Linked DNA regions of Caenorhabditis elegans. The protein of the gene in region 2 interacts with the protein of the main gene of each other region in a pairwise test. Each region holds a gene or a part of one and is shown on either strand. Other genes may lie near its edges.

Region 1 (9,005 bases), 3.8 Mb from region 2:
AACAAGAAAATTGGGAAATCAACATTTTTCTGTCCAATAGGAATTTACATCCATAGGAAGACGACTGCAGAACTTACGAGCCGGTAGAAGTGAATAAGATTTGATTCCTTCAACTTGATTAAATCTATTCAAAAATACTACGTTAGTTACATTTATTTCTTAAGTGAGCATCTACTCAAAGTTGAAATGACTATAAGTAAAGTAATCATTCTAGATGTGTTGCACAGAAATTCGCGTTTACATTCTACTACGATAAAATCAATTGATCACATGATATTCAGAAAATAAACAACATAATATTTTGGATAGAATACTGACTGAAAGTTCTAAATGATAATCGATATCAGTAAGAGTTCCGCTAATGTAGGCAATAATGACATTTGATAAATTAATAAATTCAAACACTTTCCTAACTGTTTCAAATTAGAATGCTTCAATTTACGAAACAGCGTATCGGATTTCATGAGCTTCTCTTTTACTCTTACTCTCTCTCTCCATGTGGTTCATTTCTTCGATTAACATTTGACGTTGCAAGCTAGACTTATAGAGTGTTCTCTTCATAAGACTTCATCTCATTTTTTTCTAGATTGACAGGAAAAATGAAGAAAAAAGGAGAAAATAGCTGGCCGATTGAGAAGAGGACGACTACTGACTGACTTAAATCTCGGCTCTCACATGCAGAAAGAGAAAGAGAGTGAGTGAGAGAGCTTCAGTAGCAGAAGCAGGAGCAAAAGCAGCTCGCGCAAACATACACACATGCCTATGCACATTATAAAGAAGCATGGCGGCGGAAGCAGTAGTCTCGAGATGAGAGAAAGAGATGAAGAAAAGAAGAAGAAGCAGGATCGTCGAGAAATGGCACAACGGAGTGAGCCACCGAAAGAGAAAGAGAGAATAGAAGTGAAGCAATGAGAAGAAGAAGCAGAAAAACAGAAGAACGAGAACTAGGATGAGGGCACATGAAAGAAGTTTAGAGGAGCAGAAGAAGAAGAAGAATCGGATGGCTGTAGCCATCAGTTTGTTGTATGTTTAAATGTGATGAAATGCAAGAGGGGCATGTGTCACTAATGTTCGTTTTGATTTCTATCTCAAAATATCTTTCCCATGTTTTCTGTTACATCTTTAAAGTTTTTTTTTGATAGACTTCACCTTACACCAAGTTAAAATCATTTTAAGGATTTCTTTCAGAGTATTTTTTCCGCAGATGTGACCAAAAAAATAGCAAAAGAATTACATAAACTTTTTGGAGGGAATTTAAACAGGGAGTTTAGTCAAATTTGAAAAATAAAGTTTTTTAAATTGAATTTTTAATTTTTTTTTCGCGATTTTTTTCGTTTTTCTTTTGTGGTATTTTGCAAGTTGAGACTATTTCGAAAATTTTGACGGCAAAATCGATTTTACAACTTTCCATAACCAATTCAGCAACAAAATGTAAAAATCCACTCGACTTCTGAAACTACCGTACTCCTAAAACGGATGAAAGGTGTATGAGAGGGTGAGAGAAAGATAAATTGCGACCAATTCCATACAAATAGACATTTTAGTTCATTTGGTCTACGAAATTCGCTCAAGGCAAAAATATCTCATTTCAATTTGATGCTCTCGTAAATGTGTCGATTATACTGGTCGTGTGAGGCACGCGCGCCTAGCATGGAAATGAATGAACCCAGTGAAAGGGTTAGTACACGTATAATCCGTCTTAATAAAATGGTCAATTGAAAGAAAAGATTTATATGACTCGTTTAGTATATTGGAAATATCAGTAATAACATGTCTCAATGTTGAACAACGGAATATCTTTGAGAAGAATAGCTCCAAAAATTTTAGAATTAAGAATTTTATAAATTAAACGATGAACTAATTTTAAAGACTCTAACGTCTCCAGCGTTAGAAATTAAAGGCTAAAAGCTTTTCCTACTTGATACATCCGGTGAAAACTCATCCAATTTGATAGATATTTTGGAACTCGTTGAGGATGGGGGAGAAAGAGATATCATCTACATATGAGATCCATAGTATTCCAACAATTTGATTCTAAAGCCACGATGACGCGACCGTCATTGACGACCAACGACGTCGATGACAACAAGGGCGACTATTTGAAAAGAGTCGCAGTCGTTGTGTACATTAATCCTGTGCTGATCTACCCGGAAATGAAGTAAGAGGAGGTGTGAACAATATGCAATGGGATCAACGATAAAAGAACGAATTTCGTATACCTATGTTTTAAAAAACACACAATATATCAATATACTTAACAGACTGTTGTTTTTGTTCTTAAAGATCAAAAGTAAAGTTGAAGACGAATAAGATTATGAAAATGCTCTTCCTCGAAGGACAGAAGAGAGCCCATCTTTTCAGCTAAACCCAATGACGTGGAAAATCGAGTATATGTGGATGTGTATATGTGTGAGTGTATATTTAAGAGAGAGAAAGAGAGGGAAACAGAAATGAGTCCGTGTTTTCGCGCAGTTTGAAAAATAAAAAAGAAAAAAGTTACATTGGACGTCCATGAGAAAAAGGGACTACGGACCAGCAATTGGTGCTAGTGAATGGATCAGTTTAGATGAACAAAGGATCTTTGAACGTTCGAACCAACGCAAAAGAAAACCACAAAACGAACATAGAAACCTACATGAATATATTTTTTCTCGGAGTCATATTTGAAATCTCTGATGATTTTCCTAGTTTCTTCCTTTTGAAATTGAGAAAATTCATTACAAAAATAGTGAGTATTCGCAGATGTGATAGAATTGAATAGTTTGTGCTTACTTGAGTCTAAAGAAAGCTAACAAAATGTCGGAGCCCAGCATTACTCCGCGCCGCGCTTCACTTGTTTCATGGATACTGTTTCCTAGCAAAAAAAGTTTTTGAGAACACTTCACCGAAAAATGTCTTTGTATGCGTAATACTAATGTTTTGTGCAGAAACATACATAATGTTAGCTAGTAAAAAATGAATGTTATCGTAATACCTATTATTCTACAAATTTCAGTGATCTTGTATAATCAGATAAACTTACCATAACTAGATATAACTCGTACTTGACAATTTATACATTGCACTTCTGAGAAACCATATAATTATAATTTCGAATCATAATAATTTTACAGTTTTCCCTTTTTTTAAAGGATCATATTTAAAATACAGTGCCAAAAAACTCAATAAGTACTAATCAGAACTATTGAGATTGACAGTGATCTTAAAATAACTGTTGAGTGAATTTTTTTTTTAATTGACTGGCAAATAAAATCCGTTGCAATAATAGAATGTGTACTGTCGCACTCAAACAGTGATGATGATGGTGGTGATGGTTGAAGTGATTTGAATAATTCCGACACCTAGACCGGTACCTGCGTTTCAGAGAGATAGCAATCGAAAAAAATGTTCTAATTCCCAAAACTTTTCGAATACTATGACGAGTGCTGGCCAGTGGGCGTTTGTTTCTGCAACAATGACAACGAACACCCGGCTGTCAAACAAATATCGTAGGAATTGGATCGAAAGCGTATTTACTATATATTTCTAGCGGGAAACAAGGCACACAAGTTGTTTTTTTACATTGTGCTTTTTTTCGCTCCTAGTATTACTGGAACACAAAATTCTGAGAATGCGTATTGAACAACATATTTGACGCGCAAAATAACTCGTAGCGGAATCTGCAGTAATTCTTTACATGACTACTGTAGCCCTTGTGTCGATTTACGGGTTCGATATTTGAAATGAATTAAAATCATTAATTTATCGATAGTTTTTTTTAATTAAGCAAAATAAAAAGAAAACAATCCGAAGAAACAAAAGAAATGGGAATATCGATGTTACTTACTGTTTGAAAATAAATTCATTTCAAAAATCGAGGCCATAAATCGACACATTCATAGAATTACTGTAGTTTTCGCTACGAGATATTTTGCCCAATGCACATTCGAAAATCTCTAGTTTGGCATCAAGGATCGTCGATGTAATAAATCAGAACAACGTAAAATTGACTAAAAACTAGCACTTTTTATTCTAAATATCAGATTAATTTCCATTCTGTATACAACTCTATCTCGATATAACAACAAAAAAAAGTATTTCAACACCGTGACCATCTCAACAAATGTGATGCTTGAATGCTCGGTCTCACGAGCAGTTGATGAGAAAAATCTGCATTTTTGCCGCTCCTCTTCTTCCTTTTTTGCATTTCTCTATGCGTCTCTATTTTGTATACAGAATTTGCCGCCGCCTTAAGCTAAAATAGAAAAGAAAAGGGAGCTCACTATACTCGAAGTAAAAAATCTTTTCATCGAGAGATTCCGGTAGAGCCAGCGGCGAAAAACTGATGACGAGAACAAAAAAAAAAGAGAATTTTGAGTGTGAAGTTGCAAAAAGTTCAGCGCATGGGCTGCATTTAGTGTGACGAAAAATAGTTTTATGGTACATATGAATACATTTTTAAGTGAGTGAAGTGAATCGGAAGAGAGAGAGAGAGAGGCTGGGAGCTAACTGAACGAACAAGATCTAAAGGAAGTGAGAAAGGAAAAAAGAAAGAGCAAGAGAGCAACAGCTTGTTTCCCTCTCGCATTTTTCTTCGAATTGCGCCTTTCAACAGCTACTTTTTTATGCACAAAACTCTCAGTTATGGGGAGAAAAAGAAATGAAGGAAGCAAATTTACGTTGGACGTCGTCTTTGAATCGGTTTTCCTCTTATTTCATTTATCCGGATGAGATGAGAGAAATTACAGATCGAGAACGTAACAAAAATTGTATTATCTCATTATGAAACTAAATTGTTCTTACAATCTTTGCAAATTATCCAAATTTACGAGATAAATACTATAGTTCTATAAACTTATAACAATAGTTCTCTATGAGAAATTTAATTATAAATTGGAGTTTGCCTCATTACAATTATCACCATTTTTGAGTGTTTGGCAGAAACAGGTGATAACGTTTTTCACTTAATTCAACACGATACTCACGAAAAATTTCACCTGCGCTTAAATTTCAGATTAGCGAAAGATATTTAAATTCAGATTCTCAAGAAGCAATGGAAAAATATTTAAATTAAAAGAGGGGTCTTAAAAATGAGTGTGTCTTACTATATACTAATGGTCCGACATTTACCGGGTTCCGCGAATCTTTTCGAAAACACACAGAAGTGGCGCAACCCGGTAGATGTCGGGCCATGATACACAGTAAGAGCTACTGAGCCAAATTCCAAAATTACTTTCTAATTGATTAAAAAAGCTGGAACATTTTCAGTGAGGAATTTACCTAAATACACTTATACTAGTCTAACATGGCCAAATATCACAATTAAACACTTCAAAAATTCCCATCCACAGTTTTTGGTAAATTGCCAATTTTGTTGGATTTTTGAGAAATTGTAAACATTCCTACAAGGTCTAAAATTTACAATGTTCAAATACGAACAATTCTAACGCAATTAAAATATAAACTCGTACGAGAGAATTTTTGATCGACTTCGAAAATGATGTTAGGCGAAAACTGAGTTTTTGCCACTTTTTGACTACAAACGAATTTCAAAAGATTTTTGAAACAAAGCGAGACATTCAGGAAAGCGAGAGAAATCAGGAAGAACACCGATATTGACTAAATCATTGTTTTCTGTGGAAACTATGCGGAAAAAATTTGCAAAGAATTTCCCAGTTTTATAAAATAAATTAAAAACTAACCTGCGATACCGTCTTGATATAATCTTCCTCCTCTTCCTTAACAACACTGAATCCTTTGGTGAAACTTTTCCATTCAACGCGTATTTATTCTTATTTTTACCCCAAAATCCTCCAGATGATATTGTCCGACTACTGAAGAATTTCTGAAATAAAAATTTAACATTCTTTTGCTTGTCAGTTTGTCATGCTCCTTACCATTTTATGACATATTGACCCGTGAAATTACTGAAAAAATGGTAAGTTTTGAGAATAAGATCGTCTGGATCAAAGTATAATAGAAGCGACCGACAGCTTCATAGAAAATAAAATACATAACAAAACATGGAAACAAATAAATTTATCTGGTCATTGTGAGAAATTAAAAAAACAAATACAGTTTGTGGTGAGATATTGTTAATATTCATCTGGATCTTCTCTTCCAGGAAATTGAATCCGTTCTCGAATTGGACGTTCAACTCTTCCAGGTCGTATGGCGTGTGCAGAAGACCCTTGCCGTGATACGATATCATCCTTTTCGTAATCTTTTTCATCAGTTCTCCGTTTCTTGACTGGAGTGGTGTCATCAGAAGCTAACGAACTACTTCCCTCGCCGAAAAGAAATCCGCATTTCACAGCTCCTCGACCCTGAAAATTATTTTATAACATTTTAGAGTTTGTGAGTATTTTGTGAAAAATATAAGATCATAAATAATGCATTTCTTCAGTTAACTATGTTTTGTTGAGAGATCCACTCAAAAACTAGACCGTTTTAGTATTCACATTAATTTTTCGTAATTTGCAGAAAAAAACATATAACTACTATCTTTGTGACACAATAATCAAAACAATTTGATCGAATCTCTACATAAAAACCGCAATACTTTTGGGAAATTAACAATATAAAAGAAATATGGTATTTGAAATTAAATTTAAATAAATCTGATTTTTGAAATATTCTAGAACTAAGGTACTGCAGGAACGATGAGATATCATAAATAACCATTTAAAAAAGCAAATCGAGTTTAATGTTGAATACCTGCTGAAACTAAAAAATCTACAAAATAGGAACATTCTACAAATTTCATCACTTCTTTTGCATATTCCTTCTCTGTAATGACTGAAAATAATTGCTAAAAAATTATATAATTTTTTCTAAATTTTTTTAATGATATTTTCAATTTTGCAAATCATAAAAATGGGCTAATTATTTTTGAATTTCCGCGCAAGAAAATGAACTTAACTTAATGAAAGAAATTCGCAGAAACTTCTTTAGTGTTTTTTAATCTGAAATATTGAGAAGAGAAACTATTAACCCTAATTAATTTAACCAGAAAACGCCGAAATGTCAAAACTAGGTCATTAACTTGCGTGGGAATTCAAAAATAATTAGCCAATTTTCAAATTTTTGCAAAAGTGAAAATAAAATCTTAAACATTTTTTTAACAGTTATATTCTGTTACATTATGATTCATTTTCTATAATTTAAAGCAAATTCCAAATCGAATCTACTCTACCGTTAATGAATTATTTGAATTCAAAAACTCACTTTAATTTTGATTCCCTGTGGAAGTTTCACTTTCTCGACTTTCTCCTCATTTTTATCTTCGTTGTAAAATCTTGTATCATGCTCATAATCCCATTCGAGTTCTTTTCCTTCTTTATCGAATACATTCAATCCTCCACGATTTGATGACTCATGTGTCCAAAACGAATCATTTCCACGTTTTACGCCGGTCTTTTTAACTTGACTCCGATCTGATGTTACCATTGTCTTAAATAGGAAACATTTGTTTTTTTTTATAGTAAATTCATTTTCAACCTGATATTCATCCGTCGTTGCATATCGAATAATGACGAACATGTTGGCTGGAACGTGTTTTGTTAATACTCTCCATTTTCCATTTGGAACCTCGCGAGCATTTATGTCTACAGTAATAAATTCGTTGTTCTTCTCACTTGCGACGATTCCTTTTTCTGAAAACATTTTGAAATTATTAAGATCTTCTGATCTATTTTTCTTCATCAAAGATTTGAAGACTAGTTGCTTGTTTGCCTACTCAAGCCTCATAATAAAGAATGAAATGTCAAAAGCAGAATAATCGCATAAGCAAACTCGATTACATCCGTTCATCCACACCATACTCATTGTCCTCCCATCAACTCTATATTTACCCTCGTGCTCATCTACGACACCTCTGATGGGAGGTCTTTTATTGGACAATTTTAATATGATTATGTGGATGAGTATGGAAAACAATATTATCAAAGTTAGGGGAGATAAGTATATTTTTTAAAGGTGGAGTAGCGTGGAATTTTGCTTAGGAAAATCCAAAAAAGTCTCAAATTCAGAAACACCAGAAAGGAAACACGAATAAAAAATCGTGAAATAATGAATATCCTACTTTGAAAAAAAAACGCGATGTTACATTCCCTGTTTGAATTCCCTCCAAAATAAGAATTGCGACCAATCAGCGATTCGCTCGGCCCACTTTTAAACCAATTAGACGGATTGCGTGGTGATCAAAATTTCTGATTGACCCGCAAGTGGGCGAGTCCTCTTATTTTAGAGGGAATTCATACAGGAAGTTCTGAAATTTAAAATAGCGTTTTTCTTAATAGAAGGATTTTCCATTATTTTGGGATTTTTATGTTTTTCTTCTGTGGTATTTCTGCATCTGTGACATTTTTGATTTTCCTAAGCAAAATTCCAAATTAAGCTGCTTCATATTTAAATTTTAATATAATAATTCTGTATCTGAAATACACATGATGATCCCTAAATCAGATCATCTAGGTTACACATTGCTCGACATTGTAGGGAAGTGAATGATGCGAGTTGACCCAGTATCCTGTTACTTCATTGTGCGGCTACTGGTGACTGCTCCATTTCAAAACAACGGGTCGATTCTCCCCTAAACAGAATGGGAAACATAACACGCGTCGGTCAATCGTCAATCGAGAAGGATCGACGACAAAAGAACATACAAACATATCGACGCGATCTACTATATGACAGAGAAGTAGTAGAAAGGGGTTATCCTCTCGATTGGATACGGTGTGAACAACGACCCAACTGTGTAGTAGTAGTAGAAAGGGGAAAACTAATAATGACAATGTAAGCGGTATTATTAACCGTCAGAATGACGGATTGAGATAGAAACATTAAACTAACACAACACACTCTCCATTCTTTTTCGAGTACTATTATTCTTTTTAATTTGTTTTGCATATGAATGTAGAGTAGGACCAATGAGAATGCGTAGGCGATACATACTGATTAATTTCTATCATAAAATATTTTATATAGATCTATTGAAATTAAAGTTACATTCTTCTTTCATTTAT
Region 2 (8,310 bases):
ATTCACAATTAATAAAATCAAACGTATGGTGTTTTTCGATTTCTTGTAATTTTGAATTTATTTGAAGATACATTTTGTTTCTGGATAAATATGAAAATCAATTAATTTCAGCTCACCAACTGTTGTTGAAGTTTTCGTAAGTACGGCTGGTCTCAGAATTGTCATAACTTTCACAAAATACAAATTTAGTATCGCAAACTATTTATATGAAAGTATAAGTATACCATCAAAGCATTGCCATATTTCTGTGGGGATTGCAGTAAATAAGTATTTATTAGAAAAATAATTTATAGAGTTAATTCAGGCTTCCTCACAACAAGTTAAAGCCTTTTTTCACAATATCATCCAGTTGAAACTCTGGATTAGTCAACTGCAAGAATACAAAGTATCGATTGAGATCTTCATAGTGTTGCCCAACAACTTGAAATACGTCCAATAATTTTGTGAACCTGATTGGACCATCTTGATAAAAAGTAAGCATACAATATTTAAGAAGACTTGAACTGTAATAACTTTGGAACGAAGATAGAAGAAGGTTTCCCGTATCTGAGAGATCTTCAATAGCTGCAACAAATTGTACATTTTTGGCAATTGAATTAAACTGAGAGTGAGCTAGATTACATACCTGGACTACTAAATATCAATACCAATAGTAATAAAAACTCCTCGTTTGTAATTTGAAGCTCACAACATTTGGCAACCAATCTGAATTTGATCCGTTCTCCGAGTTCGATTCCCAAATCCTCTATCAAAATATTCGACCCATCGGGAAATGTCAATTGTTTCTCTCCCAACAGATAATATCGAAATGCTTCACAAAAACTTGCGACTTTCACAAAATTCTTTTGTAGAATAAACGATTGATCACGTGAACTTGATTGATATACGAATGGGAATTTTCTCAAAAAATCCGAGGTAGAAACTGCAACCAGATAAAACCAATCTCTATAGTTCATAGGATGACATCTAGGGATGTACTCTATAACATCGTTCTGGACGATTTGCCCAATAGTGTAATCTCTATATTTAGGAATAGAGTTTAAATAAAGTGTACAACGATTGAAATTCACTTCTGATATAAAATCAGTCAATGGTTCCAGAGATGTATTTTGGAGCAATGACTTGATGTTCATGCCAACTCGAATGCACTTTTGAAATCTGCAGAATTAAAAAATTGAGCTGAGATGGAAGAAATCGAAGAAAAGAGGTGGGAACTTTTTGTTGGAGATTTTTAATCAATTTATTAAATGAAATTCCCTAGAACGTGTTTTAAAAAATTGGTAACTAATTTTTCCAGAAGACATGCGATTTCTCGTTAAATTTGAAAATCTGGTGTCACAGCAAACGACTCGAATGGAATTATCGTCAACCTTGACTATTTACGAGGTTCAAACTCTCATTTTTCCCGGAGAAAAGTATTAGGTTGAGCTTCGAGGTGTTTCACTGGAAAATAACACTTTAGTTGCAATGTGGTCACAGGAAATTCGAGCAGGTAAAAGAGAAACAATCAAAATTTTTTTAATTTTCACTAAAGTAAAATGTGTGTGTTTTTTTTTTTGAAATCCAAAATTTAAAACTCCCCTGAAAACTTTTTGTGAAAATATTAAAATTTGAAATTCGCGCCAATTTTTCTTTGAACAAATTTGAATTTTGATTTCCTTTTTTTTTTTAATTTTCAGAATTTTGCCCTAAAGAACTCGCGGATCTCCTCGAGAAATGTCACGTCTTCATTGGAAAGGAAACTGCTCAATTGCAAGAGATAAAAAATCTCTATCGGTGCAAACCGAAACCATACTGGGATTATATCTACAACTTCAGAGGCAAAGTGATGGAAAAATACATCAAGGATGATAACGGCCAGCCAGGAAATCTCAAATGGGTTTTACTATGTAGTATTTGTTTTTGATTTTTAATAAAGTGCATTTCCTAAAAAAAATTTCTTCAAAAATATTATACCTCCTACGAGCCGTGCTCATACATAGCAATGAGTCTACTTAAAGCCTTCTTTCTTGTTAGTCATTTCACAAATATGAACACTATTTCCGAAAAATTTATTTAAAAAAACAAATTTATAAACAAATAGCTCATAAATTTTTGCATTCTATGCTTGAAATGTCGTAAGAATGTGCATCATCATCAATATACACCCACCATGTGCCCGAATATGCTCCTGTTTCAAAACAGTACACAACTTGAGGTGCACCATTCGTATTTCCGGAGATAACAGTGACCCCATTGATCAATGTAACTTTAATAAAAGTTCCAGCAGGACATGTGAATTGGCTTCTGCAATTTTTTTTATTCTTGAGAGAAAGCAGCAATAACCTACGAGCAAACGTCGGGTAATGAGGAAGCCTCCGGAGGCCCCACGCCTAAAGTATAACTGACTGGAACCTGAGCAGCTGTAGAGCACCAATTTGATGCACTTGGAAGTCCAAATCCTTGGCAGCCAGAGTTGTAAATTTTTGAGCAAACATTGCAGGCTGAAATAGAAAAATATGAGATCAGGTCTAAAAAACGGTTTCAAAACTCACGGAAAGGTGCTTCAGTCGGTGGCTCAATTTGTTGAGTGGGAATACAAGCAAGCAAACCTTCAATTAAACTCAAAAATATGAGAAGCTGCTGGAACATTATTAAAAAATATTAGGAATAATAAATCAGATTAAATAAAAGTACGATATCAAATTAATCGACAACATTCTTTTTTTGATCCTCCTCTCTTTGCTAAGATTACGTAAGTGATAGGATTATCCAGTTTCATGAGGGATAAACAGCAAATCAGGTGGGACAAATGATCAAGATCAAACAGAAAACTGTCAAATGCACTAAAGTGAACAGAATGTAGCAGCCGACGTCTAACGGGGTTTATTTTGAAATTGAACATATTTTTGACATTTTAATTACACCTTCAGATACATATTAAAAAAGAACCTTATAATATGCTTGGTAGTCATTTGATACCTTCCGAACAACTTTAACATTGATTAATCTACGATAGAAATATTCTAGAAAATCAGAAAAGTTTTTTTTTCGTCTTCTTAAAAGCTGAATGATTTCTTTAAAAAATTGTACAAAACTTCCAAAATATTTCAGATTGTATCTATCGAGTCTATAGCCTATAGCCTAGAGCGAAAATTGCGCTTTTTTAAAGATCAAAAGCTGTTGGTTATCACATTAATCATCGATCAGTTCTGATACTTTTCGCGCAAATGATTGGCAAAAGATCCAGTTTTTAAAAAAGTGATAAGATTGATATACAAACAATTGATATGTAAAATGAAAATGGTTCAAAGTGGCAAAACTGTGTTAATAAATATCACAAAAACTGTAAGTTTGTTCATTCGAATTTTGGTCATGAATTTTGGGAAACTTTTTTGTCCACCGCGGGCACAAATTTCAGACCACCTGATGAACATAGAACAATGTATTGTGGCTTAACAACTTATTCACCTGCAGACTCGTGTATTACTCAAACCAAGCGTTGGTTTGAATCTATTTTTTTCCAAGACGCAAATGTTGAAAGTTATATATTTTGTGCCTCACAATGTTTTTCCAATAATAAACCTCAGAAGTTCCAGATCGGGTCTTGTGAGATCACAGCTGAATTCGAGAAACACGTTTTATTTTTCCTTGTTTCATGTCTCGCGTGTATTATGTGTAGGCGGAACAGTAAAAACTATACATGTGCCGGAAATGTGAATAGCTTCCTGTTATTACTGTCTACCAGTTGTTTTCGCGCCCAGTTCATTGTTCTGGTATCAGCTTTTTGAGAAAATGGAGCTTCTTCTCGTCATCCTTCTGTTCCTATATTCCACAATTTTTATTGTTGGTTTCACTGGAAATTTGTTCATGGTTTTGGTTACACTGCATAGCAAGTTAGTTTTTTTTTGATAAGTTTCACTATCATATCGATTTTCAGCAAGCTCCGTTCAATTTGTAACATATTAATCTGTGTCTGCTGTTTCTGTGATCTTTTGCTTTTCACCGACGTCATTGCATTTGTAGTGTCAATGCTTACACCATTAACTCAAGGTATGCTAAAACTTTTTAAAAAAAGTTATTCAGAATCTTCGAACTTATAAAATTCAGAGTTGTGTTTCTACATCAGTATTCCTGCGGATTTCGGAGCTTTTGCTTCAAATGCATGTGTTTTGGCTATTGGGATTGATCGATTAATTGCAGTAGCTGCTCCCACAAGGTATAATTTGCCTGCTTTTTTTTGGAAAATTGAAAAGCAAGAAATTTTCGTTTTTAGATTTTCTAAGGGGTTGTAAGTTATACGATATTTCGCTTTTCACCTGTCTGAACATTGTGGTTTATATCCACAATGGTATTGTTAAAATGAACACACAACTTTGTGAGATCTTTGAATTAGGTAACTAAACTTTTAATTTGACTTACATTTATTATTATTATTTTGGAATCATTTTCTTTTCACGCTATTCCTACAATAACTGTTTTAGATACAAATTGCTGGAAAACGAACGCTACAAGTATTTGTTTCTTCAAATGACGTTTCCAGTCATCTATTCTTCAACTTTATTGATTATGGGATTTGGACAACGTGATCCAAGAAGGTGAGGTTTTAAATTAAAATTTCAAATTTTAAAACTAATTTTCATCTTTAGAAATGTGGTCTGTCTACTCCCAGAATCATTGGGTCATGCTTATGACATGTTCGCTCTTTCTTCCTTTGGCATTAATCTTTTTGTACCGCCGATCTACGCATACGTGTATTTTAAAGTCAAAAATATGAGTGACAGTGAGCTGCCGACAGTTTTAGAGTTTTGAAAATGTAGAAACATTTAGATAATTCTATCAAAACCGTTTTCAAATCACTATCGGTTACTGTATGGTTTGTCGTGTGCGGTTGGATGACAACTGACTTGATTGGTGCGCTTACAGTAATACTTCCGATGGATAGGAGCGTGGCAAGAATGGTTCAGCTCTACTGTGGAACTTTTATATTCACGTCGAGTGCTTTTAATGCAGTTGTGTATTATAAATTCAGGTAATTTATATTTTCTGTAGGGCTTCCATGCAGGAGTCGAAACTTCAGCCTCACAGACGTTCAAAAAATAGACGAGGAGGCCGGTAGGTATTAGGCAAGGAAGTCCTAGAAAAGCATCCAATGTGAATTAAATTATGGTTTTATTTCAGCCGTGACTATCGTTCAGCAATGCGTACAATGCTGGGTCTGTCCAATGAAGTTTCCATAGCTGATATTAATATCTATCAACAAGCTTCCGATCCACCAAAGTCAAGTAATCAGAGACCATTTACAAATACAAGCTGATAACTTTTAAAATAAAAAAGTGGTCTTTCACTCATGTGTGCTTTTTGTTTGAATACTCTAAATTTTGTGGAAATTATGTTCTACAAAAATTTATCCATACTTTTTCAGATCTCTGAAAACCGTGACTTTTACAGGAAACGTTTTACAGAATAACTAGAGCGACGCATTTTCTCAGAATTTCTCTGAGAATTGTTGATTACCAAAAAAAAAAATCAAGTTCCATGTTAATTCAGTTGAAGAACACCAACTGTTCAGGGAACACATTTCAATTTGTTAGATTCCTGCAGGCAATTGTATTATTTAAATGCAAAAGTATTGTTTTTATCATAATTGTCTTTAACTGCAAAATGATGTTATTAAATAGTCTGTTTGCCTGTTTTCCGATAAAAAACAAAAAAAAACCATTTGCATAATTTGTATTTCCTGCTTTACTCTTTTCTTTTTATTCATTACCGCCCCTACCTATTTGATTTACGAGACTTGTGTTAACTTTACAACCACTTCATAGTTATTGCCTTTTTTCGTGCTTTTTTTTTCAATTTTTGAATTTTCAGACTTGAGTTAGTTGAAGCCCATTTTTGCATTTGACACCCAAACAATGGAGTCTCTTCTTATTATCCTTTGCTGCATCTATTGTACAGTTTTTGTGGTCGGAACAACTGGAAATTTGATAATGGTTATGGTGACTTTTTATTGCAAGTATGTACATTTCTATTTTTTTTCTTTTTTTTTTTTTTTTTTAATTTAATTCTTTCAGAAACCTCCGCTCGATTTGCAACATTCTAATCGGATTCTGTTGCTTCTGCGATCTACTTCTTTTCACAGACATAATTGCTTTCATGATCTCTATGTTCATGCCCATTACTCAAGGTAGATAAGCAATTCAAATGTAATTCTTATTAATGCTTACCTTTAGAATTCTGTTACTTTATGAGCATCCCCGCAGATTTTGGAGCATTTGCATCGAGCGCATGTGTACTGGCTGTTGGAATTGACCGCCTTATTGCTGTAGCTCTTCCGGCAAGGTAGTTCAAATATTGATAGATTTGGGCGTTCAGTTCAAAATTTAAGATATAAAACCTTGGAACACGATCGTTTCTGGTACTTATTAATATTGATAGCTTTCCCTGTTGTATATGCATTGGCGTTACTGTATATTGGATTCACACAGCGAGACCCCGGAAGGTATGCAACACAAAATTGAACTAGCTGCTTACATACGTTGAGATATTCCAGAATCGTGGTTTGTCTAGTTCCCGAATCGCTGGGACATGCGTATGACGTGTTCGCGCTCACTTCTTTTGTCATTAACCTTTTCGTGTCACCAATCTATGCCTATGTCTACATGAAAATCAAAAAAATGGGATTGAGTAAGCTATTTTTCAATTTTAATAGTGACGGAAAACAAAAACACAAAATACAAAATAATTGAGGAACCACAAATTTCCAGACAGCTCAATGAAAGCGGTTTTTAAGTCACTCACGATTACCGTATGTCTTGTGCTTTGTGGTTGGATGGCTACAGACACAGTCGGAGCACTTTCACTAACACTTCCGATAGACAAGAATGTGGCCAGAATGATGCAGTTGTACGCAGGAGTTTTCATTCTTTCTTCTAGCTCTTTCAATGCATTTGTTTATTATAGAATTAGGTACGATATGGGTGAACATCTTTTCCGGTAGTTTGCAGTGATTCAAATTATTGGTTTTGTTTGCCAAACTTCAAGTTGGAACTTTGTCGCTGAATTTTTAAACTTTTAAAATGTATTCGAGAAATAAGCCAAGACTAAATTAAGTAATTAACCTTAGTCGCTTATTCCTTGAGTAACCTTTGATAGTTCATATTGAGGAAGCATAAAGACCTTGGACAAACTTTGGTCGGACCTAGGCCAGATTATGTTTCAGATGTTGAATATGTGCCAAAATTATGCTTACCTCAACTTAGAACTAGCCAAAAAATCCAAAACTGTGCACCAATCTGACCAAACTTTGAACTCATTTATTGTAAAATAAAGAACGACAAATTCTTTAAAAGCATCATTTACAAAATTATAGCCGTGACTACCGTACCGCAATTCGTGCAATGCTGAGAATATCAAATGCGACTTCTGTATCCAAAGGATCCGGATATCGAGATACCACCGATGGAGCTAGATCGAGCACTCACAGAAGATCAACAATCACTGTTCGTACAAGCATGCACATGTAACCAGTTAATATTTTTCATATTTAATCGATAATAAAGAAGTGACGTAGTTCGAAGAGCACAACTGTGCACAAAAGTTACCAAATTGTCTCGCTGTGAGTCTCATTCTAATCTTTTTTGAAAAGTTTGAAAGTTTATATAGGAAAAACAAAGTTTTGAGGTTTAGATCAGCTTCAGAGAATTTGACGTTGCAACAAAAGAAGACACTCGTTTCCCACCAAATAAGACTAGGCACGTTATCAATCCTTCAATAACAAATCCAAACATCTTCGTGGCAACTGTTAATGGTCCGACTTCTCTTATATTGACAATTCTTAAATTGTTAACAAAATGTGAAGAGAGAACATTGAAAAATAATAGTATGAAAAAGTCGAGAAGTGCAATGCGAGTGGCCTGAAACCTGAACTAGTGTAGTTCTCTTAAAAAACCTTTTAAACTCACTCTAGAAATTACACAGTTTTTTTGCATCTTCCAAAAATAATTCCAAATGAAAAATCAGAAAAAAATAGAGTAGCCGAAAAGGCTCCATTCACAAAATACACAACCAGCTCGCTTGAGAAATAAAACGAGTTATAGCAACTGTTTACAGCACAGAAAATACCATTACATTTCAATGGTGCATCGATATCATTACCACAAAACCCAAAAAGTATGTATTGATCGAGAAATCCCTTTGACAAAATAATGCAGAGAACTAGAGCATTTGGAAATTTATTCCGATACTTATGGAAATAAACTGGGATAAAAGTTGCAAAAACTCTCTTAATGGATATTAAAAGTGCCAAAATTGACCTCATACTTCCAATTG

What was found.
Region 1: the proteins of srsx-36 (region 2) and pkc-1 interact in a two-hybrid assay, tested with the Caenorhabditis elegans proteins (one large-scale study listed by BioGRID).

The regions. Positions count from the first base shown.
Region 1 is NC_003283.11:12,026,253-12,035,257, forward strand, and holds the start of pkc-1 (Protein kinase C), read right to left. Parts: upstream 5,880-9,005; coding exon 5,877-5,879; intron 5,825-5,876; coding exon 5,682-5,824; intron 1,633-5,681; exon of another isoform or gene 1,496-1,632; intron 1-1,495. Other genes in the region: Protein kup-1, read right to left, coding at 6,075-6,305, 7,207-7,431, 7,480-7,634. UniProt on the Caenorhabditis elegans protein: PKC is activated by diacylglycerol which in turn phosphorylates a range of cellular proteins. PKC also serves as the receptor for phorbol esters, a class of tumor promoters. Involved in neuropeptide secretion in motor axons.
Region 2 is NC_003283.11:15,805,105-15,813,414, reverse strand, and holds srsx-36 (G-protein coupled receptors family 1 profile domain-containing protein), read left to right. Parts: upstream 1-3,771; 5' UTR 3,772-3,774; coding exon 3,775-3,875; intron 3,876-3,919; coding exon 3,920-4,032; intron 4,033-4,089; coding exon 4,090-4,198; intron 4,199-4,463; coding exon 4,464-4,577; intron 4,578-4,628; coding exon 4,629-4,762; intron 4,763-4,809; coding exon 4,810-5,011; intron 5,012-5,160; coding exon 5,161-5,296; downstream 5,297-8,310. Other genes in the region: nhr-282 (NR LBD domain-containing protein), read right to left, coding at 311-564, 626-1,133; F54B8.1 (C6 domain-containing protein), read right to left, coding at 2,085-2,286, 2,330-2,483, 2,535-2,631; srsx-38 (G-protein coupled receptors family 1 profile domain-containing protein), read left to right, coding at 5,895-5,995, 6,054-6,166, 6,213-6,321, 6,368-6,481, 6,533-6,666, 6,747-6,948, 7,352-7,505.